Macaca fascicularis: one gene and its partners. The main gene of each other region encodes a partner of the protein of the gene in region 3 in a complex. Links are inferred from orthologs where the notes say so. Each region holds a gene or a part of one and is shown on either strand. Other genes may lie near its edges.

What was found.
Region 1: PRPF4 (region 3) and LSM4 share a complex: the UniProt entries of both Homo sapiens proteins name them as parts of the precatalytic spliceosome. The link is inferred for Macaca fascicularis from reciprocal best matches to the Homo sapiens genes PRPF4 and LSM4.
Region 2: PRPF4 (region 3) and LSM8 share a complex: the UniProt entries of both Homo sapiens proteins name them as parts of the precatalytic spliceosome. The link is inferred for Macaca fascicularis from reciprocal best matches to the Homo sapiens genes PRPF4 and LSM8.
Region 4: PRPF4 (region 3) and LSM7 share a complex: the UniProt entries of both Homo sapiens proteins name them as parts of the precatalytic spliceosome. The link is inferred for Macaca fascicularis from reciprocal best matches to the Homo sapiens genes PRPF4 and LSM7.

What each region holds. Positions count from the first base shown.
Region 1 is NC_088393.1:18,685,287-18,693,076, reverse strand, and holds the start of LSM4 (U6 snRNA-associated Sm-like protein LSm4), read left to right. Parts: upstream 1-2,517; 5' UTR 2,518-2,576; coding exon 2,577-2,579; intron 2,580-7,660; exon of another isoform or gene 7,661-7,790. UniProt on the Homo sapiens protein: Plays a role in pre-mRNA splicing as component of the U4/U6-U5 tri-snRNP complex that is involved in spliceosome assembly, and as component of the precatalytic spliceosome (spliceosome B complex).
Region 2 is NC_088377.1:159,619,639-159,627,412, forward strand, and holds the start of LSM8 (LSM8 homolog, U6 small nuclear RNA associated), read left to right. Parts: upstream 1-2,476; 5' UTR 2,477-2,587; coding exon 2,588-2,618; intron 2,619-4,017; coding exon 4,018-4,058; intron 4,059-6,568; coding exon 6,569-6,696; intron 6,697-7,774. UniProt on the Homo sapiens protein: Plays a role in pre-mRNA splicing as component of the U4/U6-U5 tri-snRNP complex that is involved in spliceosome assembly, and as component of the precatalytic spliceosome (spliceosome B complex).
Region 3 is NC_088389.1:44,820,297-44,828,251, reverse strand, and holds the start of PRPF4 (U4/U6 small nuclear ribonucleoprotein Prp4), read left to right. Parts: upstream 1-2,672; 5' UTR 2,673-2,758; coding exon 2,759-2,785; intron 2,786-3,552; coding exon 3,553-3,730; intron 3,731-6,148; coding exon 6,149-6,335; intron 6,336-7,955. Other genes in the region: anaphase-promoting complex subunit CDC26, read right to left, coding at 346-404. UniProt on the Homo sapiens protein: Plays a role in pre-mRNA splicing as component of the U4/U6-U5 tri-snRNP complex that is involved in spliceosome assembly, and as component of the precatalytic spliceosome (spliceosome B complex).
Region 4 is NC_088393.1:2,987,006-2,994,700, reverse strand, and holds the start of LSM7 (U6 snRNA-associated Sm-like protein LSm7), read left to right. Parts: upstream 1-3,761; 5' UTR 3,762-3,793; coding exon 3,794-3,799; intron 3,800-3,882; coding exon 3,883-3,973; intron 3,974-7,508; coding exon 7,509-7,580; intron 7,581-7,695. Other genes in the region: SPPL2B (signal peptide peptidase-like 2B), read right to left, coding at 3,576-3,641. UniProt on the Homo sapiens protein: Plays a role in pre-mRNA splicing as component of the U4/U6-U5 tri-snRNP complex that is involved in spliceosome assembly, and as component of the precatalytic spliceosome (spliceosome B complex).

The DNA of each region.
Region 1 (7,790 bases), on a different chromosome or scaffold from region 3:
TGCCGCGCCTGGCCTTTACGTTTCTTATTTAAAAATATAAGCAAATTGGCCGGGCGCAGTGGCTCATGCCTGTAATCACAGCACTTTGGGAGGCCAAAGTGGGCGGATCACCTGAGGTCAGGAGTTCAAGACCAGCCTGACCAACATGGAGAAACCCCGTCTCTACTAAAAATACAAAATTAGCTGGGCGTGGTGGTGCATGCCTGTAATCCCAGCTACTCGGGAGGCTGACGCAGGAGAATCGCTTGAACCCAGGAGGTGGAAGTTGCGGTGAGCCAAGATCACACCACTGCACTCTAGCCTGGGCAAAAAGAGCAAAACTCCGTCTCAAAAAAAAAAAATATATATATATATATATATATGCAAATTTTGTTCATGTGCTTGGTGTGGTAAAAAATATATATATATAAGCCGGCCGCGATGGCTCAAGCCTGTAATCCTAGCACTTTGGGAGGCCAAGACAGGTGGATCACGAGGTCAGGAGATGGAGACCATCCGGCTAACACGGTGAAACCCCGTCTCTACTAAAAAATACAAAAAACTAGCCGGGCGAGGTGGCGGGCGTCTGTAGTCCCAGCTACTCGGGAGGCTGAGGCAGGAGAATGCCATAAACCCAGGAGGCAGAGCTTGCAGTGAGCTGGGATCTGGCCACTGAACTCCAGCCTGGGCAACAGAGCGAGACTCTGTCTCAAAAAAAAAAATATATATATATATATATAAAATATATGCAAATATATAAACACATACACATGCATGTATTTCTCTTTGTGCACACAAAAGATGACATATTGTAAAAACTGTTCTCTACCTTGGTTTTTTTCCACTTAATATATCCAGACACCATTCAATGTCAGTATATGAAGACTGTCTTCATTCCTTTTTATAGGAACTTCATTCCTTTTTATAGCTGTATTACTCCATCATGTGGTCGCATTGGGTTTCTTTCAGTCTTTTGATATTATGTATAATGTCAATAAATAGCATCGGTCATTGAAAAATGAGGCTGGGCACAGTGAGTCACGCCTGTAATCCCAGCTCTTTGAGAGGCTGAGGTGGGTAGATCACCTGAGGTCAGGAGTTCGAGGCCAGCCTGGCCAACATGGTGAAACCCCGTCTCTACTAAAAATACAAAAATTAGCTGGGCATTGTGGCGTGTGCCTGTAATCCTAGCCACTCTGGTGGCTGAGGCAGGAGAATCCCTTAAACCCAGGACGGAGGGATTGCAGTGAGCTGAGATCCCACCACTGCACTGTAGTCTGGGTGATAGAATGAGACTCCATTTCAAAAAAAAAAAAAAAAAAAATAGGGTCTTTGCAGATGTAATTAAGGATCTTGCGATGACATTATCCTGAATTTATGGTGGGCTTAATAAGAGAAAGGCGTGTCCTTATAAGAAAACGGAGAGGCTGGGCTCGGTGGCTCACGCCTGTAATCCCAGCACTTTGGGAGGCAGAGGAGGGAGGATTGCTTGACCCCAAGAGTTCGAGACCAGCCTGGACAACATAGGGAGACCCTGTCTCTACAAAAAAAGAAAAAAAAAAGGAGAGAGTCGTTTGAGACTCAGAGACACACAGAGAAGGCCAAGTGACGACAGAGGCAGAAGGCGGAAGGCTGCATCTACAAGCCAAGAACTCCGAGGTTTCCCAGCAGCCACCAGAACCCAGGAGAGAAGCATAGGACACGCAGATTGTCCTCAGAGCCTCCAGAGGGAGCCAACCCTACTGACAACCTCATTTTATTATTCTGGTCTCCTGAATTATGAGAAAATCACGTTCTGTTGTTTTAAGCCTCCCAGTGTGTGGGCATTTGTTACAGCAGGCCCCAGGGAACTAATAGCATTCGCCTATTTACTTTGTTTACTGTCTGTCTCCCTAAGGGCCACGAATTTTGTGTACTGTTCATTTCTATGAGCAGAAGCAGGCACAGAATAGGTATTAAGTACTTAATATATGCCAGACGCTGTTTTAAGTGCTTTTACACGGTTTCATTCATTTCATCCTCATAGTAAGTAACGTTTTGGAGCAGACACTACTATTTACAGGGAGAAAACTGAGGCCCCGAGGGTCGTGGTCAGGATTCCAACCTACTAAATGATGTTCCCTGGATAATTACAGAATCAGAAAACTAGGAGTCCGAAGGGCGACACCAGGGACGTCCCAATCACCACGAAGCCTGGATTTCTCTCCCTCAACTGCAAAGGAAGTTACTGGCTTTGCCCACAGCGTGGAGCCCAGAAGACCGACGAAGGTTTCACCTGCGCACGCGTTTACCCACAATGCACCCCGCCCCGGCGCGCGTTGCTCCGCCCCCTTTTGTATTACAAGCCGCGGCACTTTACGGCTCTCTTCCTCGTTCCTCTGGCGGGAACACGGCCCGGCCCGCCCCTTTCGCCTAGCGGGCCCCGCCCTACTCCGCGTGGATTGGTTAACCGGCCTTCTAGCCCGGTGCTGACTGGCTCGCGTCTCTGCCACTTTCTTTCAGCCCAGTGGCGCGCGGCGCGGCGTGGCGAAGACCGCCGGGAGCGTGTGCAGCGGCGGCGGCGGAAGTGGCCGGCGAGCCCGGTCCCCGCCGGCACCATGGTGAGGGCAGAGCAACGGCGGGGTCTCACCGGGAGGCGGGAACCGCAGTCGTTAGGAGCCCTGCGGGCGGGCGCTGAGGGCTGGGTTGGCGCGGGGCGAACGTACGGTCCGAGCCTTGAGTCCCGTCCCCCGGCACAAGGCCGGGAAACTGATGCTGGAGACTGCAGGTGGTTCTACCACGTTCGTGTCTGGGATTTAGGGTTGCACGTACTCGTATCCACAGTACAGTGGCCTCGCCTTACTTAGTTTTCCCATTTTGCAGGTTGGGAAACTGAGGTTAAAAAAGTGGGGATCTGCCAAATGCAACAGAGAGTTTTTGGGCAGGGAAGGGGGTCCCTTACGCTTCGGACCCAGTCTGACCTCCCAGATTGAAACCTAGAATGCTGGGAAGTAGGGGGCCAGTCTGAGTTGTGAAACTTAGTTTTAGGAATTTCAGAGCTTGTAAGATGCTTAAAATGCTAGCAGCAGAGCCTCTTAGGCCTCTTGTTTTCTGGCTGAAAAGTAGGCCTGGTGCTGGGGTGTGGTGTTTCTCCTTGGTTCACAAAGCATGTCATTCCAGAGGAAGGGAGCGTTTTGAGCTAGGGGTGGGCAAAGTACATCCTCCCCGTACACAGAAGGAAAAATTGCAGCCCAGGTCTCTGCAGGGCCACATTGTTTATGATTCTGTAAGTTCTGGATCTGGGCTAGAAAGTGCCCGTGTCTCCCAGTGTGCAGATCAGAAAAGGAATCCAGAGCTGGGAGTTTCCTGGCTCATCAGCATCTGGCCCTTCTTTTTTCAATGAGAGAAACCAAGGCCCTTGTTGGGGATGTGACTTCCAGACTGTGAGACAGTGGGAGATTCAGTAACCAGGAGGGCCCCCCAGGGGTGGCTGCATCAGAACTGTGGATTAGTGAGAGAGCTCTCCCTAAATCCAGCTGGTCAGTGTGTAGCCACCCAACGGGTTCACCTTGCCTGCTTCCTAGACAGAGCCCATTTATCAAGACAGGGCAATTGCAATACAGAAAGAGTATTTCACACAGAGCCAGCTATGCAGGAGACTGGAGTTTTATTACTGCTGAAATCAGTCTCCCCTGAGCATTAGGGGATCCGAGTTTTTAAAGATAATTTGGCGGGTAGGAGCTCAGGAAGTGGGGAGTGCTGATTGGTTGGAGCTTCCTGAGGTTGGAGATGGAGTCATTGGCGGGGGGGGGGGGGGGGGGGGGGGGCGGGGGGGCGGGGGCGGGGGTTGAAGTGAGATTTTCTTGCTGTCTTCTGTTCCTGGGTGGGATTGCAGGACTGGTTGAGCCAAATTACTGGTCTGGGTGGTGTCAGCTGATCCACCAAGTACAGGGTCTGCAAAATATCTCAAACACTGATCTTAGATTTTATAATAGTGATGTTATCCCTAGGAGCAATTTGGGGAGGTTCAGACTCTTGCAGCCAGAGGCTGTATGACCCGTAAACAATAATTTCTAATCGTGCAGCTAATTTGTTAGTCCTACAAAGGCAGACTGGTCCCCAGGCAAGAAAAGGGTCTTTTCGGGAAAGGGCTATTACCAATTTTGTTTCAAACTATACACTAAATCCCTTCCCAAGGTTAGTTCGGCCTATGCCCAGGAATAAACAAGAACAGCTTAAAGGTTAGAAGCACGATGGAGTCGGTTAGGTCTGATCTCTTTTCGCTGTCATAATTTCCTCAGTTACAATTTTTGCAAAGGCGGTTTCAAGAGCAAGGATTCAGAGAGCCTGTCCCTCTGCCATGTACTTAGAGGGCAGAGTTGGCATGCAAGACTGGGCAGAGCTGGAAGGATCCATCCCTGTGTTAAGTTTTGTGGAAGCAGAATCTTTTTTTTTCTTCCAACTATATTCCCAGTGTGTAGAACGGTGCCTGGGCAAAGTGTGAACTCATTCATTCAGCCCCTTCCCACCTTCTGAACATCCAGAGTCCTGGCTATCCAGCCATTTCCTGGAGGAGTGGCCAAGAATGGACAAGGCATCATGGGATACACACTTCCAGTTCCCTGTGATCAGGGCAGGGCCAGAAGGAGTGGCCTGGGTTAGGAGCGGGGATGGGCAGTCCTGGACAGCTTCCTGAATTAGGAGGCACTGGATTAGGTCTTTGTGGATCTAGACCTGAGAACCAGATTCCAGATGCTGCAAGAAAGCCCACTAAACCTCCACCTCTCGGAGAGAGTGATTTTCCTGCCTCAGCCTCCCAAGTAGCTTGGGATCACAGGCATGCGCCACCACGCCTGGATAATTTGTGTATTTTCAGTAGAGATGGGGTTTCACCATGTTGGCTAGGCTAGTCTTGAACCCCAGACCTCAGGTGATCCACCCACCTCGGTGTGTCAAAGTGCTGGTATTACAGGTGTGAGCCACTGCACTCTGTACTTTTTTTTCTTTTTTGGAACTGAGCTCTCACTGTCGTCCAGGCTGGAGTGCAATGGCACAATCACTGCAGCCTCAACCTCACCGGCCCAAGTGATCCTCCCACCTGAGCCTCCCAAGTAGCTGGGACCACATGCGTCACTAAACCTGTCTAATTCTTACATTTTTTGTAGAGACAGAATCTTGCTGTGTTGCCCAAGCTGGTCTCATACTCCTGGGCTCAAGTGATCCTCCCACCTCAGCCTCCCAAAGTGCTGTGATTATAGGCGCAAGCCACTGTGCCAAGCCTCACCTGGCACTTTGATGTATCTTCTTTTAAGATTTTGAGGATCCACCCCTTCCTCTGACCTCTTTCTCCAACAGAGTTTGGAGATGAGGATATAGGAGAAATCAAGATATATGGTCACAGCCCCAGGCCATTGCAGCCTTGGAGGACCCGGGACTCAGGCAACTCCCTGTCCGGTGGCCACTCCTTCCCTTACCTGTGGGGTGGGGCGAGTGTTGTGCCTTCCCTGCGTGCCTCCCTGAGTGGTGTGTGCATTTCTTTTGTGTATTTATTCAACAAATATTTACCGAGTACCTCTTATGTGCCTGGCCTTGTGCTTGGCCCTGGACAAAGTCCACACCCACTTTGAGTGTTCCAGTCTAGCAAGGGACAGAGGTAATAAACAAGGTAATTAAAGACTGGCTGCATCCTATGATGGAAACAAACACCCATGAGGCAGAGAGTGGCCATTAAGAGGGCCTGGCCAAAGGAGGTGACGTTTCAGCAGCCACGCGAAGGTCTGGGGAAGGTCACCCCAGGCAGAGGCAATAGCAGAAGTCAAGGTCAGGTGGCAGGAATGGGTGTGACAGCCAGTGTGGCAGAGCCTCTCAGGCCTGGCTCTGTAGCTGGCCTGGGGAGTGTTGTGAGCAGGTCTGCACCAACCCTATTTGGGTGTTTTTTGGTTTTTGGTTTTTGTTTTTTTTTTTGAGATGAAACGTCACTGTCACCCAGGCTGCAGTGCAGTGGCACGATCTCAGCTCACTGCAGCCTCTGCCTTCTGGGTCCAAACGATTCTTCTGCCTCAGCCTTCCGAGTAGCTGGGACTACAGGTGTGCGCCACCATGCTTGGCTAATTTTTGCATTTTTAGTAGAGATGGAGTTTTACCATATTGGCCAGGCTGGTCTTGAACTCCTGCTCACTGCAGCCTCTGCCTCCTGGTTTCAAGCGATTCTCCTGCCTCAGCCTCCCGAGTGGCAGGGATTACAGGCGCCTGCCACCACGCCCAGCTAATTTTTGTATTTTAGTAGAGACGGGGTTTTGCCATGTTGGCCAGGCTGGTCTGGAACTCCTGACCTCAGGTGATCGCCCGCCTCAGCCTCCCAAAGTGCCAAGATTACAGGTGAGAGCCGCTGTGGCTGTCCCACCAGCTCTCTTTGTTTCTCAGATGTTCTTTCTGCTGCTTTTGGATGAGACTGCGGGTGACAGGCAAGGAGGCCATGGGTCCTCCCAGGCTGTGCTATTGGTCACTGGGATTAGGTGGTGACCCGAGAGGGGCTGTCACTGGCATGGAAGGTGTGTCTCCAGGCCACCTGCTGACAGTAGGGCGTCTGCCTCTGGGCAGCTCTGCCCGGGCCTTGCTGGATTTCCCTGGGCAGGTCACTTCTGCTGTGGGCGCCGGCGCCTCCTCTGCAGAATGAGAGGTGGGCCTTAAAGGGCTAGCCGGACCTCTGCCCCTTCCCCAGTGATCCAGGAGGACGTCCCGGGTCCCGTTCCTGTTATGGACTGGAGAAATAAAACAGGCTTACTGAGGAAAACCCATGGCTTCTTCACAGCAAAGGGCGACCTGGGCATGGGACCCGTGTGCCAATCGGTGGCTCTTGTGTTTTCTCTGTGGCTGGTGGCACCCAGTCAGACACACGCCCAGCCGCCCGCAGCCCTCCTCCCCTGCCTCTCCGAGCAGCCGCCCCGCGGCCACATGGCCCCTTCTTCCCCCTTATCTGGCTTTTCCAGGAAGCCGGTGCAGGAAGCGGGCTTGGGCCTGGCTTCCTGCTGGCACCGACCTCCCCTGGGCAGCTTTTCTCAGGAAGGGGCTGTGGGATGTAGGATTCCCTCCCCAGCCCCTTCCTTTCATGGGGGAGCCACCCCACCAGGGTTGAAGGCCATTTCCGGCCTCCACAGCGAGAGGCCTTCAAGTTCACACCCCCTGGAAAGGTGGCCACCCTGTGGATCAGGGTGGTAGCCAGGGCAGGACTCCCAGCAAAGGCTTCTGGGGTCAGGGCCACCTGGAATTCCAGTCACCAGGACAAAGCAAGGTGAAGCCTCTGTCCTGTGAGGCACTGTCTCGTCAGGGCCCCTTGGTGCTGGGGCCTTCCTCACGGCAGTACTAGAACGGGCCCGTTATAGGACCCCGTACCCAGGCACAGCCCTGTGTCACCCCGAGGCAGTTCCCAGTGTACGGGCTGAGTTTTATGTTTCCAAAATGAAAGTGTTGATTTTCCCCCCAGTAATAGAAACACTACATATTTGACATAATAAATTCAGTAATGATGGAAAAAAACATCTTGAAACCAGACGTGGTAGCGCATACCTGTAATTCTAGCTATTTGGGAGCTTGAGATGCGAGGATTCCCTGAGACCAAGAGTTCAAAGCCAGCTTGGGCAAGATAGCAAAACCCTGTCGCAAACAAAAAAAATAAAATAAAAAAACTTGAAAGTTCACCTTAACTGGCGACTTCCTGTCTTTGAAAACCCAGTTCAGGCTGGGGGTGATGGCTCATGCTGTTATCCCAGCACTTTGGGAGGACCAGGCGAGTGGGTCACTTAAGGTCAGCAGTTCAAGACCAACCTGGCCAA
Region 2 (7,774 bases), on a different chromosome or scaffold from region 3:
TCTGATCCTTTAGGTTAATGTTTTCTGCTCAAGAGTTAGATTCAGAAGTAATGGAATAAAATTATCTATTACAAGCATACTTTGGTTGATACTTTATCAGTGATATGTCATTTAAATACGCATTACTTTGAGAGATTTGGACTTAAGGGGCAAGTTTCACCCTTAACTCTTAATTTTTTAGTAGTCAGATGTTTATATGTATCAGTTTTCCCTTGTTGGAGCTTTAACGTAATTCTCCTTTATGAGATGCTAAGCTCTCTACATTCACATACTCTCAAGGGTACATGGCTAATACAGATAAATCATACATGTAATGTTTGCATCCAGATGTAATTCATTTTTTGTCTTAATAACTGGACTTTTATCTATCCAGAGGCTTTCTCGTTACATCTGTGATCCTTACAGACTACAGAAAACATAGCAGTTTTAAGACACATGCAAAAAAGTTTCCAGCCAAAGAGATTTTGTGATGCTCCATAAATACTGTACATCTGTTATTTATCTGGCATATTACTTTAATAACTACACAAGGCCATAGACTTACAATGTATTTATGATGAAAGTAGTTTCGTAAGCTACCATATAATGTTAAACATTTTCAAAACAAAAGCACACTCTAAGTGATGAAAAGCTGTTGGGAGTATTTATTTTTTTACTTTTATTTTTTATTTTATTGAGATGGAGCATCGCTCTGTCGCCCAGGCTGGAGGGCAGTGGCACGATCTCCGCTCACCGCAACCTTCGCCTCCCAGGTTCTAGTGGTTCTCCTGCCTCAGCCTCCCTAGTAGCTGCGACTACAGGCACCCGCCACCACGCCGGCTTATTTTTGTATTTTAGTAGAGACGGGGTTTCACCATGTTGGCCAAGATGGTGTTGATCTCTTGACCAAGTGATCCGCCCGCCTCGGCCTCCCAAAGTGCTGGGATTACAGGTGTGAGTCACTGTACCCAGCTTTATTTTTATAAGATCACACAGAGGTTAGTTTTTATGTTTTTGAGATGGAGTTTCGCTCTTGTCGCCCAGGCTGGAGTGCAATGGCGTGATCTCAGCTCACTGTAACCACCGCCTCCCGGGTTCAAGCGATTCTCCTGCCTCAGCTTCCAGAGTAGCTGGGATTACAGGCATACACCAACACTCCCAGCAATTTTTTTGTTTTAAACAAAACTCTTAACACCTCGTTAATCATTAATTAGTCTTTGGGTTTTGATTCAACTCCTAACATTTGCAAATCACACAATTATCTTTGTTCTTTCATTTGTGGAAGACACTTTCATTTGTTACCCTGAGAATATGAGACATTCACAATCTAATTCCTGACTACATTTGATTTCAAACAGATCGGAATAACTTCCAGAATATAAAATTTTAACTATTTGGGAGTCATCTTGTAGGTATCTTGTGGGTATGCTCTAATTAAGAAATGCTTCCTTTTCCCAGGAAAACTGCTGACATTGCAAGAGTTATTCCAAAGCCACAATTCTTAAGAAAATACATGTTTAACCTAAATCATAAAGATATTTTGTAAAAAAGGGAAATCGCTCCTGCTGATGTTTTGTGTATAAATCTCTTTCTAACTTCAAGCTCTCTCAAGTTAGGGCAACACAGTAAATAAAGTGGGAACAGTATCACATTGGGAAATATCTGAAATGATACCTATGGCACTATAAGGAAACTGAGGCCCAGAAGAATTGAAGTGACCTGTGCAATGACACCAATACGTTAGCAGAGCCAAGATTAGAACCAAGTTTGGTGCCTTCCTGCATCAGTCCTTTCTTGGTGCTGAAGGAGCCTTTTATTTATTAATTTCACCCTGGAGAATTCCGGCAGACCATCCCGGCGTGGTAGAAGCGTGAACATTCGTTTTCTAAGGGATGGTCACACACCTTTTTCTATTTGCATTTAGTTTCTTTAAAAAGTAAAAACACCTCCATTTTGGACCACTTTTAGAGACAAAAGCAGAACATACGAACGTGCATTTCATTGTTGAGTTCTTAAGACGCTTACACCGTGTGGTTATAACGTGCGCAACTTTGTCCCGGCCAACTGGACTTATTTTTAGTGTTATTTTCGGCTCCTGCTGCAGAAAACTAGGGATTCAACTACCCGCACCCGCATTTCACACAACAGCGCTCGTCTACTCTCCTCCTTCACTCCTAATAAAAAACGCCTTATCCTGTTTCTTCCTGCCTGCTCTACCTCAACATTTTCACTTATTATCTTCCACCACACTGGGTTTTACTCGGATTGGAAACCCACTCTCCCCCAACTTCTCTCTCGTACCCCACCTTCGGGAAGCGTCCTCCTTTTTTCCGCCTCTCGTTCCCTTTGTCTTACACGGCTTCCGGAACACGGCCCAGAATTACAGCGAAAACACACTGCGCACGCGCACTCTCTCGTCAGAGCGGCGCTGCTTCTGTTTGGTTGGCTAGTTCGTCCCAATTTCCGAGTCAAAGGGCTGCGGAGCAGCAACTCTCACGATATTTGCGGCGGCCCGCAGACGCGAACCGCTGCCGAGTTCTGGCGCGCCCTTTCAGTTCTGCTTGTGGCCGGCACCACTGCGTTATCCGGAACTGCCGGTCCGAGCAGCATGACGTCCGCCTTGGAGAACTACATCAACCGTATCCTCAAGCTGGCCGCCGCGGGCGTGAGCCGGGGCCGCGGAGAGACCGCCGCTCGGGGATCGGTGGGAAGTTGGGAGGCCCGGCCGCGGCGGGATCCTGGGGGCGGGCGAGATGAGGACCCCGGAATGACCCAGAGTTCGGCGGCGGCGCCTAGAGCCTGCCAGCTGCTGCGGGCCCAGGGGTCCTTTCCATTTTGTCTACAAAAGCCAAATAAAAACCCAGTGTGATTTTTCCGAACTTTTCTGTCTTAAAAAAAATTACGCTCTTGATTCTTCCTTACTATTTCCCTAGGGCATAAGTGTTCAAGTTTGTAAATAAGATTAACAGTCGTCCTGGCTGCGACAACAGTTTTGCAAATCTGTGTACTTGTTTTATTCACATAATATGCTCATTAGTTCGAGGATAGCAGAAAGTTTAACGATGGTTCACAGACTGTTTCTGTCCCTTTACCACTTGAAGACCCTACCTGGTGGTGGAATGAAAAAAATGCTTGCTGTTGTAATGGATTATAGTGAGGAGCAAGTAACAACCCCACGGGAAGTCTTAAAATAGACTTTACAAGTGTTACCGTTTTAAAGTCTCAGAACAAAAACACTATGTTAAGTTCAGGTACAAACTGGGTGACAAAAATTAAATACCGAATGCTTTTAATGTTACAGGCATTGTTAGTACCTTGTGACACTGATTATATAGTTTATTTACTTTTGAATTACAGAAGCCTGCCCCGGAAGACAGTTTTTTAACATGCTTGAAAATCGTCCAACATCGATGAATTTAGTACTCATCCAGTTTTCATTTTAGATATAAACAGGCCCAAGAAACGAAATATCCTGTCCGAAATAATAGATTGGCAGCATTCCTAGTAGAAAAGTGTCAAAAATCCAGGATATTTTGAGATAGGATACACCGATCACATACAGAAAGAGGTTTTCTTTTCTATTTTTTCCTTTTTTTAGTCATGTAATTATCACAAAACTAAAACAAGCTTTTAAAAAATTTTTTTTCTTTCTTTTTTTGAGTCGAGGGTCTCACTGTGTTGCCCAGGCTGGAGTGCAGTGGCTTGATCATGGCTCAATGCAACCTTGAACTCCTGAGCTCAAGCTATCCTCCTGCCTCTGCCTCTGTCTCCTGAGTAGCTGGGACTATAGGTCACCAGGCCAGGGTAGTAGAGATGGGGGGGGTCTCACTGTGTTTCCCAAGCTAGTCTCACCTCAAGTGATCCTCCTGCCTTGGCGTCCCAAAATCTTTCAACGTTTTTATGTAGTGAACTTAGTGGCTGTGTTGAACACTTTTACCTAATTGTCATATTTGTTCTAATAATTTAAATCATTACCTTGCCAGAGTCTGTTTTCAATTTGCATTCCCTAAGAAACACTTTCCTTTATTCAGTTATCAGGAACTGTTGCCGTTATTACATCTGATGGGAGGATGATTGTGGTAAGTCTTCGGAATTTTCATTCTCTGCTTTCCTGTAGGTTTATTGGTTGCAAGTTTTATGTGAAACCTCTGATCTCTAATGCCTAGACAGCACATTACACCTGTAGTGCAGTTTTATTATAATTCAGCTCTTTATCACTTTGCTGTCAATCCACGTTTTCCTCACTCATAAACGTGGCGTGTTACCTACAAGGCTTCTAGGAGCTAGAGTTATAGATTCTGCCCTCAGAGAGCTCCTAGTCTGCAGACCTTCATTAAACTTACTTTTCTTCTTCCATTTTTATTTCCTTCCTCATTCGGCACCACATGAATCAGAATTTTTTGAAATTTTGCATATGCTTAGTAACTTTTTAATGATTTAGATACTATTAATATCTACATATCAACATTTAAGGCTTGTATACAATCTTAACATTCTTTGTTTTTAGGTTGTGTGACATGTCTTCTGTAGGACACATTATGATGATTGACTCTCTCTATATACACATATTTACGTAAAATTGGCTTGTTCCTTGAAGTTGTTTCTCCCTTGCTAATTTATGTCATATAACAAAGATAAAACGTTCCTATGGTGATACTTGTATTTGGAATTTGATCTGAGGAATTCATCTCAAGATTTTTGGGCACTTGATTATTTCTTCACTTATAATTCCTACTCCAAATGCTTTCAAAAGAATTTTAAGGCTACTAAACTTTTCTAACCCTACCTAGTTTCTTTAAATAATTTGATCCCTTATTTTTCCATTCTGCAGTTTTGCTTTCGTTTGTTCTTAGTGACTATTGTTAGTCAAAGTTCTAGCTTTGCCATTTACTAAATTTATATCGTGTGCCAGGTGCATATGTGTTACATTAATTAATGTACATACAACCTTGTGAAGAATAAGTACCCCTGTATTCTAGATTAGGAAACAAGTTCAGAGAAGGTGACTCACTTTCTCAGAGTCACAAGGGTAGCAGGTGACAGAACCAAACTGGGATTTAAATTTGGTTTGACATCAAAGCCAAGGCCAGTTGCCTGGCTTCTTTCTTAAGGAAGCAATCATGTTTTCTTAGGCACCTCACATTGTATTTTTTCAAATGTGGACAGTTTGACATATTTTAACCTCAACACTTCAAGAAGCCTATTGCTATTAATAGATGTTTGCATTATTTTTTATTTAGTGAAAACCTTACGTTTAAATTTTCTTATTTTTGTTAACAGGATAATAAACTGGGAAATTATTTTTAATTTTAAAGAAGAAGGAAAGCGATATAAAAAGAGCATCTTAAGTTCTAAAGTTCAATAGTTCTGTATTTCTTTGACACATAATTTATTTGATGGGATAGTTAATGGGCAAAATGAAGCCAATAAGTTATGAATGGGTGTTTATAATAATAACCATTTGCTAACTAGTTCAATAAATACTCCATATTTTGTTTCTCTTCCAAGTTATAGATTTCTTTTTATTTAATTCTCATTTTATATATTTTGACTTTCAGAGGATAAAACAGTTTAAGAGCTTGAGAGATTTAACCATCAAAACCAATGTTAGTTGATAATTCTTCAGAAACTTGAATACCATCTGAGTTACTCTGTTATGCTAGACCCATGCCTTCTTTTATTCAATTCTAAACTTTCATAAAACTCTCCCTGATTATTTCCTTCAAGTTCTGGTTCTAATTAGTATAGTCACATTTGTATCTACCTTACTGGGAGAGTTCAATAATACATCCATTTGATACACATTAAACAATACATGTGAGACAGACGGAGCACCGGTAACTAAAGTACTCGTTAGGTGTTATATGTAACTACTAAATTTTTAAAATATTTATGGGACTGATTTGAATCTCTGAAAAATGGCAAATTATATTTACTTGTGTATGATAGTATAGAATGTTACGGTTTAGTGGTCTGACTCAGGAGCTAGCCTTTTGTGGTTCATCTCCTGGCTCTGCCACTTACTACCCATGTGCCCATAAGACACACCACTCTGTGCCTCAGTTTCTTCTTTGAAATGGGGCTAATTATAGTATTAAAGGGTAGAGATGAGTTGAGACAATGTGTACGATGTGTTTAGCACACTGCTTAGTGCTGGTATGTAGCATATAGTGATACATTACATTGCTGTAGTTGGTATGTATGGTTCTTCCTTATTTATGTATATTTGCCCATCAGTTTCCCTTAAATCTCCTTTGTTTTAGTTTATACCTTTAGCTGCTGGTCTTCGTAAGCTTTTATGCTAGTTACTTTTTGGAGATACTCAAATTAGTACATAGTTGTCGTTTCTAACTGCCGTCAACTCTGCATATGAGTGAGATGTGTGGTGCAGGACCCCCACCCCAGCCAAACAACCAAGAGGTAAATTGTGTACCCTCGAATACTGTTGGTTATAAAAAAGGTATTTTATTTGACATTGTATTGTTACTTGTATTGGAATACTTGGCAACTGAAATGATTGTGAGGCTGAATTTACACTTTCAGGTAAACCAGAATATTTCTCTTTTTCTCCTGAATATTTTCTTTACAGGGAACACTGAAAGGTTTTGACCAGACCATTAATTTGATTTTGGATGAAAGCCATGAGCGAGTATTCAGCTCTTCACAGGGGGTAGAGCAAGTGGTACTAGGATTGTACATTGTAAGAGGTGACAACGTGTAAGTAAAATATATCTGTTAAAATTATAAATGATACTGCCTTACTTTATGGAGAAGAGGTTTTACCCAAAATACCCTATTGTATTGTCCATATGTAATTAATAGAATCTTGCATTCATTTCTTTTGTAAATACAGCGTTTCTTATATTTGCATAAAGTAAGGCATAGCTATACATTTTATGTCAACACTTTATGTTTCAACCAAAGCTTTCTCTCTACAAATTAAACTTACCTGAGATTTTCCATTTTTCTACTAGTTAAGTAGCCTGGGTAGAGTCCAGAAAGGGCCCTGCCTTATATTAAATACTTCATTAGAGAGGCTTCTTCATGTGTTCTTAGAAATACCCAGAATTTTAGAGGAACATATTTCTAGAGTCCAAGGCCAAAGTTTGAAAAATGGTTTTGAAATCTCTCATTTGAACAATACTAATTCATGCTCAATAACATAGATGTATTTGTAAATAAGTACTTACTTGTTATTCATTTTCTTTTAATTTTTTAGTATCATTGACACACTTACGATGTCCCTGTGGCCTCAGTTTACTTGGGACAGACAGATATAACAGTTTAAGAGTAATTGGCCAGGCGTGGTGCCTGTAATCTTAGCACTTTGGGAGTCTGAGGCAAGTGGATCAGGTCAGGAGTTCAAGACCAGCCTCGCCAACATGGCAAAACCCTGTCTCTACTAAAAATACAAAAATTAGCCAGGCTTGGTGGCGTGTGCGTGTAGTTCCAGCTTCTCGGGAGGCTGAGGTGGGAGAATCACTTGAACCCAGGAGGTGGAGGTTGCAGTGAACCGAGATCATGCCACTGCACTCCAGCCTGGGTGACAGATTGAGATACCTTCTCAAAAAAAAAAAAAAAAAAAAAAAAATGCCGGGCACAGTGGTTCACTCATGTAATCCCAGCACTTTGGGAGGTGGAGGTGGGTGGATCACTTGAGGTCAGGAGTTCAAGACCAGCTTGGCCAACATGGTGAAACCACGTCTTTACTAAAAATGTAAAAAATTAGCCAGGCATGGTGGCGCAAGCCTGTAATCCCAGCTACTTGGGAGGCTGAGTCAAGAGAATTTGCCTG
Region 3 (7,955 bases):
TACTGGCATTATAGGCAAGAGCTACTATACCCAGCCAACTTCTAAAGTCTTTAGGTATATGATTATTACATTTTTATTACATTATGGAGATCTACAGCTCTGTAAAATCAAAAACTCTTTCAGTAAGAATTTAAAATAGCAAACTATCACTTTAATCTCATGTTCTAGTCACATTCAAAGAAATACTCTAGCTAAAAGAATAAACTATCACATCTCAGTATAGTTAGAGGAGAAAGTGGACAAACCAGTGAATTTAATCTACTCTACGTGAGAACTGTCAGAGATTTGTGATCACTCCTGAATGCTAAAATCAGTTTGCTAAATCTCATGAAGACTCCAACTCACCAATTCACAGGATTATCCTCAGCGTCCAAACAGATCCTAAATGTGTGTACGTCATTCATTAAACAAACACTTCTTGTGCTCCAGCTACAGAATTAAAAGGTACAGTCATAATCTGTGGGGAAAATAAAGAAAACTATGATATCATATAACGAGAACCCTAATGAGGATACTGGCACTGGCATCACACAGGCACCTAATCCAGTCTGGGCTGAGTGTGGGGTGGACAAGGATGTCAGGCAAGCCTTCCTGGAGAAAATGATATCTTAGTTGACTTCTGAAGGGCAGGCAGAGAGAAGAGTGCACAAGGAGGCTCAAGACCAGCTTTGGCAACATAGCAAGACCCTGTCTCTACAAAAAAGTAAAAAAATTAGCTAGGCTGGTAGTGTGTACCTGTAGTCCTAGCTACTCAGGAGGCTGAGATGGAAGGATCACTTGAGCCCAGGAGTTTGAGGTGGCCACAGTGAGCCATGATCTCACCATAAGACCCCAACTCAGAAAAAAAAAAAAAAGAAGAAGAAAAGAGGTTCAAAAGAGCATTCCACAGCCTGAAATCCCGAGGTAATACTGTGTTAACAAAAACCATTTTGTTTTGTTTTGTTTTGTTTTTGAGAAAACACAACTCCCCCAATTGAGTTTAATATCTGTTGATGGCATCATTTGTATATTCTCCACAGCATCCCCTAGAGTGTATCTATAAAAACAGTCAGTAAATGTTTGTTGAATAAAAGGTGAGATCATTCTTGAGCACTGTGCTCTTTTTCCATTCCCATTCTTTACATTCTTAACACAAAAACCTGTGAAGTTGACAAAATGATTCCTATTTCACACATAAAGAAGTCATCGAAGCAAGCTGTTCAGTTTGGTTAATAATTTTAGCCTCCTATAAAAATTATACAGGTCAACATGATAAGGATTAAGTGAGAATGATGGAAGTGAAAACTCCTTGAAAGTATATAGAGATACAAATTATTACATGTATCTAGGATGAAACTAGGGACTGTGAAGTATACAAAGGAAGAAATATTTCCTTCTCCCATGAAGCTTAGGATATTACAGGCGATATTATCAACACAAAACACTGGCACATTACATTTCAAATTGCTTTGTACTAAATCAGGCATTATCTTCTACCAGATTCCAATGCAGACAAATGGTAGAGAAAGCCAAAGTTCCAAAGAGGGAAAGAGAGGGATAGGGATACCTAAAAGGAAAAAAAAGGTCTACTATACATTTTACCTTTTCTGCAAACTGCGAAAAACTGGCCACTACGGAGCAGTATAGAGTAGCAGTTAAAAGTGCTGGCTGTAGAGGTTAAAGGGCACAGGTTCTAATCCCACTGCGCCACTGATCTTGAACAATTAGTTTCATTTCTAACTAGGCCTTAGTTTCCTCATCTGTATCCTACTTTGCTGTTGTAGGAAGTGAATAACGTAATGCAGAGTAAGCTCTTGGAACATTACTTGGCATTTAATAAATGTTCAATAAATAACACCTATTATGGCTGTAATTTTTCTAGGGGGTTGGATGAGGATCTGGCCAGCTACGGAAACGTCAATATTTTGAGGATCTCCCACCGTCCACGTGGGGATAAAAACCTTATGCTGTTCGTCTCTAATACCCCAGCATCCAGCAGGGCAGAGAGACGTACAGTTCCCTGACACCCTCCTAACCATCATCTTACTCTCAATCTGATACAAAGACCAGGCTGAAGACAAATGAACAAAATCAGGCCGAAGCTCCTCCGCCGGGTCTTTATTTGACTTTGGCACCAGCGGGCTCTTCTAGCTTAATCTCTCGCTGCAGCCCAAATCCACCGCCGAGCCATCAAGCTCATAGGTGGCCCCTGGGAAGACTTCCGGACCATGGAAGAGAACAGTCCTCGTCCCCTAGCTCCAGGCCTGTACCTCGGATCCCAGGGTTTCTATGGTAACACGGTCCTCGGCTCCCAGAAGACGTAAACGCCCCCGTAGGCCCGGGGAGGCACAGCGGGCCCCGGAAGCCCTCGACTCGCTCCAGAGTTCAGCCCCGAGCCGCGCGAGTCGACTTACCTACCTCTTTTCAAGTCGGCTCAGCCCCTTCCCGGAACCTCGGCTCCCCTCCACGAAACTACTGCTACGCCAACTGGACTACACTTCCCAGACGGCTTGGAGCCTCTCTCTCAGCAGAACCTCGTCTTCCGCGAGCTTTTCTTGGAGGTTCTAGGAGGGATGCCCCTCAATGCCACGACGCCATTTCCTACTACGACTTCCATCATGCTCCGCGCCGCTCCGGGCGCAGCGACGGCTCTTGGCCCATGTCCTGTTTGCGACACACTTCCGGTCAGTGACGCACTTCCGCTCTGCTGGGCGCGCGGTGGAAGGTCTGAAACGGAGAGCTTGGATTTCGCTGGGGCCTCGCGGCTCCAGAGCCCAGCATGGCTTCCTCGCGAACCTCCTCCACGGTACAGAGCCCGGGATCGCAACTCACTCTGGCAGGGAGCGCGAAGGGGGAAGAGGATCTCTGCGGGAAGGGGCCGTTAGGGAGCGAGAGAAGGCGGTGGAGGGCTGAGGAGGAAGGCTGCGGGACTCAGTGGTGTTCTACACAGCGGACCACCGTTTTCCTGACCCCTAAGCGCTTTCGTGGACTGTAGCTTATTTGCACCTCTCCCACTACAGCCCCAAAGGGCAAACATCTCTTCCGACTCATCCAGTAACGGTGCTCTGAAATAGGGAAGTGTCTTGGCCAAGGTTTATGCGTTTGGCAGATCTCAAAATTTTAATGAGACCTACTAACTTCTACCTCACGTCTAGAAACGTTTGAAATGTATACACTCGTAATGTTGTAACTTGTTATCCTTTAGCACCGCGTTGGTTATTTCATCTATCCTTAGTATTTCCCCAGTGATGAGCAGTAATCTTGGATACATCGTAAAACACGAGATTCCACGTTTCCAGCAGAATAAAGTAAACAGATTCCAGAGCAAACCTTTCATATGAAAATACTCGAGAGAACCTCACTAGTTTTATCAATCCCGTCAGCTAAAGTGAGGGACTGAAACACCCTCCCCTTCACCTCAAATCGATGAAGAACATCTTAAGTAGTGTCCAATTTGTCCTTTCAATTATGAAGGAAATAGGACTGTGAAACTCAGGGCGAGCTTCATCCTCGGGAAATCCGGTAAATTGCCAAGATTAAACCTCAATTTAATCCAGATTTTTGATTTGGCAGGCAACCAAAACTAAAACACCCGATGACTTAGTTGCTCCGGTTGTGAAGAAACCACACATCTATTATGGAAGTTTGGAAGAGAAGGAGAGGGAGCGTCTGGCCAAAGGAGAGTCTGGGATTTTGGGGAAAGAAGGACTTAAAGCAGGGATCGAAGCTGGAAATATTAATATAACCTCTGGTAAGATGCAAATTGTGAACCCATCTTTACCTCTTTGTGTAATGAATACTTTCCTAAACTTGAATATCATCAGTTTTATAATGTCAAAAAATTTAAGTTCTTTTGTTTTAGACGGAGTCTCGCTCTGTCACCAGGCTGGAGTGCAGTGGCGCGATGTCTGCTCACTGCAACCCCCGCCTCCCGGGTTCAGGCAGTTCTCCTTCAGCCTCCGGAGTAGCCGGGATAACAGGCGCACACCAACAAGCCCAACTAATTTTTGTATTTTTAGTAGAGACGGGGTTTCATCATGTTGGTCAAACTCCTGACCTTGTGATCCCTCCCCCTCGTCCTCCCAAAGTGCTGGGATTACAAGCGTGAGCCACTGCGCCTGGCAGAATTTCAATTCTTAAACTTGCATCTATAAGGCTGTATTTTGCCTACCCCCTTAAAATCATGCAGAGAGCCTTTTTCTTACAATGTGTTACATAGTTTTGCTTCTATGAGTGAGCAGTCTTATCAAAAATTCAGTGTACATTTGGATTCAGATTGATTCCATTTGTCTTCTGGAGATCTAACATAGTTCTGGCATTGGTTTGCAGCTAGAGTGGTTCGTGATAATCTCCCTTTTGAAGTTTTCCAATTATTTTTTACCCAAAGGGAAATATCTTTTTTTTTTTTTTTTTTTTTTTTTTTGACACAGGGTCTCACTCTCTTGCCCAGGCTGGAATGCAGTGGCATAACCGTGGCTCACTGCAACCTCTGCCTTTTGTGTTCAAGTGATTCTCCTGCCTCAGCTTCACGATTAGCTGAGATTACAGGTGCCGGCTACCACACCCAGCTAATTGTTGTATTTTTAGTAGAGACGGGGTTTCACCATGTTGCGCAGGCTGGTCTCCAACTCCTGACCTCAAATGATCTGCCCACTTCGGCCTCCCAAAGTGCTGGGATTACGGGCGTGAGCCACTGCACCTGGCTGAGATATCTTGTTTTATTATAAAAGTAATAGTGGCCAAGCCTGGTGGCTGAAACCTGTAATCCCAGCACTTTGGGAGGCTGCGAAGTGGGAGTCCGGCTTGAGCCCAGGAATTCGAGACCAGCCTGGGCAAATAGTGATACCCCATCTCTACAAAAAGTAGAAAATTAGCCGGGCATGGTGACGCGTGCCTGTATTCCCAGCTAATTGGGGTTCTGAGGTGGGAGTTCAAGGCTGCAGTGAGTCATGATTGTACCACTGCACTCCAGCCTGGACAACAGAGAGAGACCCTGTCTCAAAAAAAAAAGGTAATAGTTATTTTTCTTTTAAAAGATCAAACAGTGTATGAATGTGTGAAGTAGAAAATCCAGTATTTTTTAATTAATTGATTGTATATCTTAGAATTTTAATACAGCTATAAAAATACGTCATTTTTTCCATAAGTGAAAACATGATACGTAAATTGTTGTATAACCCCCATTTTTCATTTTATATACCATTGAGGATATCTTTCCATGTCAGTAATGAGAGGTCCACTCTATTTTTAAAATAAAATTACGCATATTTGTCATAAGAAATTCAGACAATACCAGAGGGCATAAAATGAAGACTCCTCTGGCTGGGTGTGATGGCTCACGCCTGTAATCCCAGCACTTTGGGAGACTGAGGTGGGTGGATCACGACGTCAGGAGATGGAAACCATCCTGGCTAACATGGTGAAACCCCGTCTCTACTAAAAATACAAAAAAATTAGCCAGTTGTGGTGGCGGGCTCCTGTAGTCCCAGCTATTCGGGAGGCTGAGACAGGAGAATGGTGTGAACCCGGGAGGCGGAGCTTGCAGTGAGCTGAGATGGCGCCACTGCACTCCAGCCTGGGCGACAGAGCGAGACTCCGTCTCAAAAAACTGAAGACTCTTCTGCAGTAGGGACATCTGTCAGGTTTCTCATTGATCCTCCCACACATTTTCTAAACACATGTGCTGTAGCCTAGTGACTTTTTAAAGTTTTTATACTGTTTTTAAACATAATGTCACCACTGTACCTCTCATTTTTTATCACACTTGTATTTTGGTGTGGGTTTCAAAACTATTGCTAGATTTTCCAGAAATCCTTATAGTTGTGGAACTCTCATTTTCATGGTAATTATTTGCAGTTTACTAGTTAATTATTTGTTAAGTATCCCTATACTGGGACTCCTTTAGAGAATAAATAGCTTTGTAAAGTTATGTAGAGGTATAAAGTTAATAAATGAAACCAGAGGTGGCTTGAACCATTTTCCTGCCTTTTGAAGTTGTGTCATTTAGGTTTATGTGTTTGGCATAATTTAATAAACTGAAAAACAGTAAACTATAAAATGTGTAATATATTAGACATTACCTTTCTCTCAGGGCATACACAGACTGCAATTATTTATTTCTCTCCATTTGAAGAAGATCTGCTGATGTTGCCTGTTTTCTTTTTGACAGGAGAAGTGTTTGAAATTGAAGAGCATATCAGTGAGCGACAGGCAGAAGTATTGGCTGAGTTTGAGAGAAGGAAGCGAGCCCGGCAGATCAATGTTTCCACAGATGACTCAGAGGTCAAGGCTTGCCTTAGAGCCTTGGGGGAACCCATCACACTTTTTGGAGAGGGTCCTGCTGAAAGAAGAGAAAGGTCACCTTTCTAAACATTTACTTTTTTTCTTTATTATAATCACAGGGTTCTACTCCAAATTTTGGTTGATGTTTTAGTTGAACTTGAATAGAATGTCTCAAATCATGTTATCATGTTACCAATATCTTACTGTGTTTATATGAGTTAGCCTATCATCTATCTTAGGCCAATTTTTATTCTACTATTAATTTTTTTTTCTTTTTTTTTTTTTTTTTTTTTTTTTTGAGGTAGAGTCTTGCTCTGTCACCCAGGCTGGAGTGCAGTGTCATGATCTTGGCACACTGCAGCCTCCACCTCCCAGGTTCAAGCAATTTTCCTGCCTCAGCCTCCCAAGTGGCTGGGATTACAGGCACCCGCCACCATGCCCAGCTAATTTTTGTATTTTTAGTAGAGACAGGGTTTCACCATGCTGGCCAGGCTGGTCTTGAACTCCTAACCTCAAATGATTCACCCACCTTAGCCTTCCAAAGTGCTGGGATTACAAGCGTGAGCCTCCACGCCTGGCCAGTTTTTCTTTATAGACTGGGAAGAGGGTGCTAACATGCTCCCTTGCCTCCCCTCCCCAGTGCAAGTTTTGAATTGGATAAACATTTGTTTTGGGGCTTTGAAAATTTAGACATCAAATGCATTCTATGTCAGTAACCTAAAACAATGATAAATGTTTTTTGGATTTTATTGAAGAGGGGTACGGTCCTCGGGTAATGCCCTCTTATGATTTACAGGTTGCAAAGTCTTTTAGTTGTGGTCTAGTCATACACAATTATGAAGAGCCCTTCTGGTCTCTATCCACTGTCTCATCTCCCCTTCATCATCCAGCTTGTTGGAAGGGTTTTCTCTATTACTCTCTTGAGGTCCTTACCCTTATTTACTCTTCAACCTGCTGCAAACTGACCGACCCCTGCCACATTAAAATTGCTCCTTATTAAGGTCACCAACCCACTTTTACTAAGAATAGCCCTAGTATACTGCCAGCCACTCCCTCCTTGGAATACTCCCTTTCCTTCACTCTCCTAAGACCAAATCCTCTTGATTTTCCTGTCTCTCACTAGCTAGTTCTTCTCGCTTACCTTCTAAACCTCTTTTTCTCTGCCTACCCTTTACAGGCTGCCTTCTCTACTTGCCCTTGATGATCAGATCTACTCCCTTGGCATCATTCACTGTGTGTGTTCTGTTGATTCCCAGATCTCTCGTTGTAGCTGAGGCATCCCACAGGTACTTCAGACTTGAGGCATCTGAATTGAAATATTTCCCCAGCTCTCTCCTATACTCATACAGTTCTTAGTTGAAAATCTACCTAGCCTCCTTTATAATTCATCAGCAAAATCTAATCTATTCTGCTTGCGAGCTACAACTCCAATCTATCATTGCTCTATCTTTACTGCTTTCAAATCTGCACTGTTGTGATAGCCCCAAACATGTTGTGTTGATTGCTTGCTTAAAATCCTAGATTGTCATCTCATACTTGGAGTAAAAAACTCTTTTCATGGTCTGTAAGGTCTTCAGCCTTACCCATACCACCCTTCCCCAATTTACTAGAATAGCCACATTGGTCCTTCTGGAATATGCTAGTTCTTTTTATGTTTTCCCACATAATTGGTCTATTTTTATTCCTCTCTCTTG
Region 4 (7,695 bases), on a different chromosome or scaffold from region 3:
CCCCGCAGTATTCAGAACCCCTCGCACCTACTCCAGGAGGGATGTTATGGGTCATGGCAGAGGCCAAGAATCCATAGTCCGGCCCACCGTCTGTGTTTGTAAATAAAGTTTTATTGGAACACAGCCAAGCCCATTCCTAAGGAAGAGTCTCTGGCTCTGGAGGTACAACAGGAGAAACCAAGCATCCGCACCACGGGCCACGTGGGCCACAGAGCCCAGCAAAACTACTGTCTAGCCCTTCCCAGAAAACACCTGCCAAGCTCTGTTCTATGGGATCAGGGACTTTGGTGAAAAGTGTCTATTGTGTAAAATGGGAACCGATAGAACTGCTTCTCTGCTTCTCTCTAAAAGGGTCATTTAAAAGCACAAAAGCACATTCATACATTTTCCTCTCCACAATTCGCAAAACTGGTTTTCTGTTAAAAAAAACAAGCCTGTACTTCTATCAAAGGCCAGAGAACGCAGTGGCGTCTCACCAGGAAGTTTCCTCATCTGCTGAGTTAAAGAAACTGGGAACTTGGCCGGGTGCGGTGGCTCAAGCCTGTAATCCCAGCACTTTGGGAGGCCGAGATGGGCGGATCACGAGGTCAGGAGATCGAGACCATCCTGGCTAACACGGTGAAACCCCGTCTCTACTAAAAAATATAAAAAACTAGCCGGGCGAGGTGGCAGGCGCCTGTAGTCCCAGCTACTTGGGAGGCTGAGGCAGGAGAATGGCATAAACCCAGGAGGCGGAGCTTGCAGTGAGCTGAGATCCGGCCACTGCACTCCAGCCTGGGCGACAGAGCGAGACTCCTTCTCAAAAAAAAAAAAAAAAAAAAAAAGAAACTGGGAACAATTAGTCCAACGGCCACAGCTCTGAGGGCCCTGAGTTTTAGTCAGGCCCACCGAAATTTGGAGGAGCAGAAAAAGCTCGGGCTACAAGGACAGGCTCAAAGCCCAGGCCTTGACCTCCAAATCCTTCACAAATCGCAGCACAGATGCTTCGCCACTGCACACTTGTTTAGAAACTTCTAGGCTTAGAAACCCTGCTTTGAAGTGACTGTGAAAGCATCCATGTCAAGGGCCTTTGAAACAGGCCAGTGAGTCCAAGCCGGGAGAGCCTCCCTTCTGGGAACTCAGGAGTTCCACGAGCCAGGCCGGGTCCAGCCAGGGCCACCAGCTCCAGCTGAGATCTGCTGAGGAATGGGCTCTATGGGGTGGGGGAGGGGAGGTGTCTCACTGGGGAGGTCACTTCCTTGCTCGGGGTCACAGAATGGTAGCAAGCGAGTGGAGGACTGTCACCAAGCAGGCTTCTGCCCAGAGAGCTAGTCTCATTCTGGGCAATCGGACTCAAATTTCCACTGCCGCGAAGCACCACCCCCCAACAGGGACAGGCCTCTCAGGGTGTATTTACAACCGGGGTTCTGGGAAGGCCAGGAGCACCTGCTCTCTCACGTCCCTCTGACACGTCCTTTGACTCCCCACCTTCCAGATAAAGCTCACACTCCTCAGCCCCCCCAGGTTAAAGTCCATGCACCCCAGCACAGAGAGCCTTCCACAACCTGCTTTCCACCAGGCGGCCTGTCATCCAGCCTAAGAGGCCAAATGCTCTGCCTTCACTCTCTGCCTGGGGCCACTCGCACCACTCCCCCCTCCTCTGTGCCCCTGCTCCAGCGTCCATCCACGGCCCACCCCCCAGGACCTCCTTGGTGGTGACATCTTTCAGGATGTAAATCCTCCCTTCCAGCATTGTTCCACCCTAGACTCCAGCCACAGCCCACCCCTTGCCAACCCCAAATAACCCGCTAGCTCTCACACCTCCCAGCCCCCGCTCATGCTGCTTCTGGTGCTTCCAACACCCTTCCCCTCCTGCCGACCCGGCAAACTCCTACTCATGGCTCAGAACACCTGCTTCAGGGCTGGGCATGGTGGCTCACGCCTGTCATCCCTATACTTTGGGAGGCCGAGGTAGGTGGATCACCTGAGGTCAGAAGTTTGAGACCAGCCTGACCAATGTGGTTAAACCTCATCTCTACTTAAAAAAAAAAAAAAAAATAGCCAGGTGTGGTGGCGTGCACCTGTAATCCCAGCTATTCGAGAGACTGAGGTGGGAGAATTGCTTGAACCGGGAGGTAGAGGTTGCAGTGAGCTGAGATCATGCCACCGCACTCCAGCCTGGGAGACAGAGCAAGACTCCGTCTCAAAAAAACAAACAAACAAACAAAAAAAACACTCCTGCTTCAGAAAAGCCTTCCCAGGCAAACTGAGTCCCTCCCTCCACAGCGTTCTGTGATCTTTCTATCTTTCTTCCACCTTTGGCTTTCCTCCTCCTTCCAAATGTCTGGGGTCTCTAGGTCCCTGGCCTCAGAATAGGGGGAGTCCAGGGGGCTGACAGGGCAGCTGGGGGTGGAGGTGCGGTTCGCAGAAAGCTTCTGAGGGGGCCCTCCAGCCTTGCAGAGACCACGGGCATTTCAGGGTAAGAGAAAAGACTAGACAACGAAGCTCCTGCAATGAGCTGCAGGCTTCCCTGGCGCCAGGTCACAACTGGACGGCACGTTCATCCAGATGCGACATGGACTGACATACTTTGAAAGGGTCACTCCTGCTGTGTCGAGGATGGACTAGGGATGTGGGGGACAAAGGCAGCCACAGCAGGGGGATGGCGGTGGGGCTGGAAGAGTGGAGACTAAGAAGGAGCCCAGTGGCAGCGACGCCTTAAGAGAACTCTGAGAGAGGAGTGAAGGTTAAGGGCCGCATTTGTGAGGCTGCTCCGGGTTCCATTCCCTGAGCCACCAAACTCAGGTAAGAGGTAAGATTTGGAATTAAGAAAATAAAAGATGCAGTTACGACAGTGCCATCTCGTAGACTGTCCCCGCTAGAACCTGACACTCTACATCAAAGGATACACAATGAATATAAGGAAGGCGTGCTGTCCCTAGGCGCTGGTCACCCTGGGTAGCATCTCCAGAATCCACACCATAGTCGACCCCCCTTCTCCAGACGAGCAACTGACGCTCAAAGCAGGGAATTCCCTCGTCCAAGGTCACGGAGTAAAAGATGGAGCGGGAATACGACCCCAGTGCAGGGCTGGGCTCTTGGCCGCTCCAGGATGCTGGCCAGTCACTGGGGGACACGCGGGACGCCTCTGGGTTCCCCCACCGCACCCCCTAGGGTGAGGTTAGCTTAGCACCGGGCCATTCCGCCTAAAGGGAAACTGAGGCTCGGAGCGGGGTGGGCGGCCGCCTGCCCAAGGCCACAGAGCGGGAGAGAGGCGTCCCCCGCGGCGGCTGGAGACCCCGAAACGGACAAGCAGAACAGGGAGATGGAGGGGGCACAAACTTCAGGCCCGGTGGGAAGTGAGGGGCGCTGCAGCGGCGGAGGGCCTCCGAGGCGGGGAAGGGAGAGAAGCCGGGGACAGCCCCGCAAGGTCACGGCCGGGCCCCGGCACCGCCGGCCGACAACGAGGGGACCGCGGATCCCCGAGGCTGGACCCCCAAGACGGGCCAAGAGGGGTCGTTCCTGCGCGTAGCCTCGGGGCCGAGAGGCCGAAGGGCCGCAGCCTGCGGTGCCGTCGGGACCGGTGCCGCGCTCACCTGGGCCGCGAGGAGCAGAAAGGCCGCCACAAGCCGCGCCAGCGCAGCCGCCGCCACCGCCGCCATCTCGGCCGGTGCCCGCCGCAACCGTCGGCAGATGTTTCCCAGCAACGCCCCGAGACCCCGGGCCACGCATGCGCCGCGCATGCGCGTGGGGGGGAGGGGAGAGGTCACAGGGCACGGGGCGGTGTCTGCGAAGAGCCTCACGGCGCGACAAGATGGCGGTGAGCGCGCGGCAGAATCCGGAGCCGGGGGGCGTGGGGCTCGGGCCGCGCTCCAGGCCTCATGCGCTCTGCTTTCCCCGCAGGATAAGGAGAAGAAGAAAAAGGAGAGCATCTTGGACTTGTCCAAGTACATCGACAAGACGATCCGGGTGAAGTTTCAGGGAGGACGCGAAGGTGAGGCGGCTCCCGCCGTTGGCACCCCCCCTTTAAAATTTTAAAATAAAGTCAGCAACAGAGGTGATGAGGATGCATGCAGAGGCGCCTCTTTTATTTATTTTTATTTATGTATTTATTTTGAGACGCAGTCTCGCTCCGTCGCCCAGTCTGGAGTGCAAGTGGTGCGATCTCAGCTCACTGCAACCTCCGCCTCCCGGGTTCAAGCGATTCTCCTGCCTCAGCCTCCTGCGTGGCTGGGGCTACAGGCGCCACCACTCCTGGCTAATTTTTGTATTTCTAGTAGAGACGGGGTTTCACCATGTTGGCCAGGCTGGTCTCAAGCTTCTGACCTCAAGTGATTCGCCCGTCTCGGCCTCCCAAAGTGCTGGGATGACAGGCGTGAGCCGCCGCAGAGGCGCCTCTTTACACGCTTGACGCCGACTACCTTGTGCAGGCTTCCGAATTACGCCGGGAGGTAGGAACTGGTATGGCCATGTTGCAGGCGGGGAAACTGGGGCAAGGAGCGGGAAACAAACGTAATCCAAAGTCACAGTGGCGCAGCCGGTATTGGGATTTCCGGCTTGGCCTCCAGAGCAGTCCTGTGTGTCCAAGGACTGCCCCAGATCCCCACAGATCTCCCGGCTTCTCCTCTTCCTCCCTCTAAGTCAAGGTCTTTCCCGCACAGCAGTGTGGACACATTTGGGGCCGGATTCTCTGGAGTGGGGCCGTCCTGGGGCACTGCAGGGTGCTGAGCAGCATCCCTGGCCTCCACCAAGTTGTGACAACCTAAATAGCCTCAGACATTGCTTAGTGTTCTCTGGGGATAGGATCGCCCCCCGACCCCCAAGCTGTGATTGGGAATCACAGCTACTAAGGTCAGTCTCCACTCAGCGGCCAGAGGCACCTAATGAAAAAGAAATGGAGGCTTCTTGCTCCCTGCTGAAAACCTCTGAGGCTCCCGGTTGTTTTGGAGTAAAATCCGAATCCATACTTCTGATTATGACTGCAAAGGGCGGCAGAAGCACAAGTTCCACAGGTGCTTGCTCTGGGAAGCCCTCCCTGACCCTGGCGTCAGGCCCCCCATCGTTCTAGGATCCTGGTAGCACCTGTCACCGTTTGCGGTTTCGTGCATGTTAACCTGATGCTTGCCTCTGCCTGCAACTCTTCCATGGAATCTAGTGAAGACAGGGCGAGCTCTCAGAGGGCAGGAAGCATTCGCATGGGCAGTGGGCTGGTGATGCATGCTGCAGCTCTTGGCGGGACGCAGGGACTCACGCCTGTAACCCCAGCACTTTGGGAGGCTGAGGCAGGCGGATCATATGATCAGGAGATCGAGACCAGCCTGACCAACATGGGGTTTCGTGAAACCCCATCTCTACGAAAAATACAAAAAAATTAGCTGGGCGTGGTGGTGCACACCTGTAATCCCAACAACTCAGGAGGCTGAGGCAGGAGAATCTCTTGAACCCAGGAGGCAGAGGTTGCAGTGAGCTGAGATCGCGCCACTGCACTCCAGTCTGGGAGACAGAGCGAGACTCCGTCTAAAAATAAATAAATCACACACACGCACACACACAGCAGAGAAAGGGTTTGCTCCCTGAAGGACTCACCTGATATGGTCAGGCTCACCCAGGGTGTTTCCCTCTAGATTGGCTCAAAGTCAGCTGGTTCAGGGGCTTAAACAGCTGCATAACCTAAGTGCAGGAGTGACGTCATGTCCCCTCAGAGTCACAGGCCCGAGCCCACACCCCGGGGAGGGGAACCTTGGTTAGAGACCTACCTACCTCAGTGCTCACATCTGTCCCTGTGAGGAGGGCTGGCTCACTGGTCAGGCTGGTGCCAAGGACCTGAACCGTTGCGTCTGACCCCATCTCATAGGTGACAGGTTTCATTTTGCAGGGGAGGGACTTGAGCGCAGAGAGAGGGAGCCGTGGAGGTAGGAGCTAAAGCCTGTATGCAGGTGGGCAGACCTTCTCTGTAGAAGGCCAGACAGCAAATATCTTCAGCTTTGCAGCCCAGATGGTCTCTTGTCACAACCAGTGAGCTATGCCCGCAGAGCAGGAGAGCCGCCCTGGTCAGTGCCTGAGCGGGCGAGTGTGCTGGTGGGCCAGTGAAACTTTGGCATACAGAGATGAGCGGTGGGCCACTTTCGCCTCTGGTCGTAGTTCGCAGCGCAGAACGGCCATGGACAGGCTCACAGCCCTGCCTTGGGAGAAGATAGGCGGGCAGAATAATGCCTGGGGTGCCTGCTTCCTGAGATTGGTGGGGGGCATGCAGAGGGCAGCACCCTAAGGGGTGTGGGTTGGTGTCTGGAGGAAGCACCTGAAAGATGACAGGGGTAAGAAGGAGGGTAGGGAGCGGGTGGCTGAGGGACGCCCCTCAGTGAGCGCAGAGGCGGAACCGCTCCTGGGCCTGGGCTGGAGGAGCCTGGGGGGAGAGGACGGGAGTCCCGGACAGGGAGGGTGGGCTGGCCTCTGCTGAGGACACACAGCTCCCCCTTCATCCTTCTCAGTGTCACCAGACACTGCGGAGCAGGATCAGATGGCAGAGGTCACCACCGGGTCAGAGAGCCCTAACCCAAGGTGCCAAGTTGTGACCTAAGGCGGCGAGGCTTGGGGGGTGGGGCAGGCAGCGTGGAGAGAGAAGCCACAGCAACCGCCTCAGCCCCCAAAGCCTTTGCACCCGGGTCTCAGAGCATCTCTCTTGCCCGCTCCCCGCAAGCCCTGAGCTGCAGGGCTGGGATTTGTTCTTCTGTATTCCGTGAACTCACTGAGGGACCTAGCACAGGTCAGGCAGCGCAGTCACCACCGCTGTCCCAGCAGAGCACTCCGTCTCCCCTAGAGGAAGCCCTGTCCCCATCAGCTGTCACTGCCTGTCGCCTCCCCGGCACCCACACATCCCCTCCCTGTCTCTGTGGATTGGCCTGTCCTGGACCTTTCATAGAAACGGGATTACACGCTGCGCGGCCTTCTGTGGCTGGCGTCTCTCACCGAGCGTGGCGCCCTCAGGCGCGTCCTCAGGCACATCCGCACCGCAGCCTGCGCCAGCCTCGCTCCTCTTCCCGGCTGGTGGTTCCACCGCATGCATGTGCCGCGGCCTGTTTTGCTACTGTTTTGGAGCCGAGAATTGTTTTTATGACTTTTAAATATCTGGAAAGGGATCAAAAGAAGACTGTCTCACGATGTGGAAATGATACGAAATTCCCGTTTCAGTGCCTGTGTGTCGAGCTGACTGGCCACGGTTCAGCCACACGTGGACTCATCACCGAAGCTGCTTCCACCCAGGCAGCCCGAGCCAGCAGCTGTGACCGGCACCCTGTGGCCCACACGGCCAGAAGTGTTTGTCCTCTAGCCCCCTGCAGACACAGTCGGCTGCCCATGGTGGGGGTCACTCTGGAGGCGCCTGTCACCAGCCCCTCCCGGGAGCCCTCCCCCACCCTCAGTCCTCCATCCCTGAAGCAGTGAGCCCCATGCCTGGGCCACGCTGGGGCAGGCCCTGTACCCAAGATGGATCTCATGCCTTCTCATTTCTCTCCCCCGGTGATTTCTCCAAGCCAGTGGAATCCTGAAGGGCTTCGACCCACTCCTCAACCTTGTGCTGGACGGCACCATTGAGTACATGCGAGGTGAGTGGGGCGGTGGCTGAGGCGGGCAGCGGGATGAGGAGGGCAGTGGGGTGAGGGGGCAGCAGGGCAAGGGAGGCGGCCATGGGGCTGCCTGCTGCCTCTTCCTCTCTGAAAC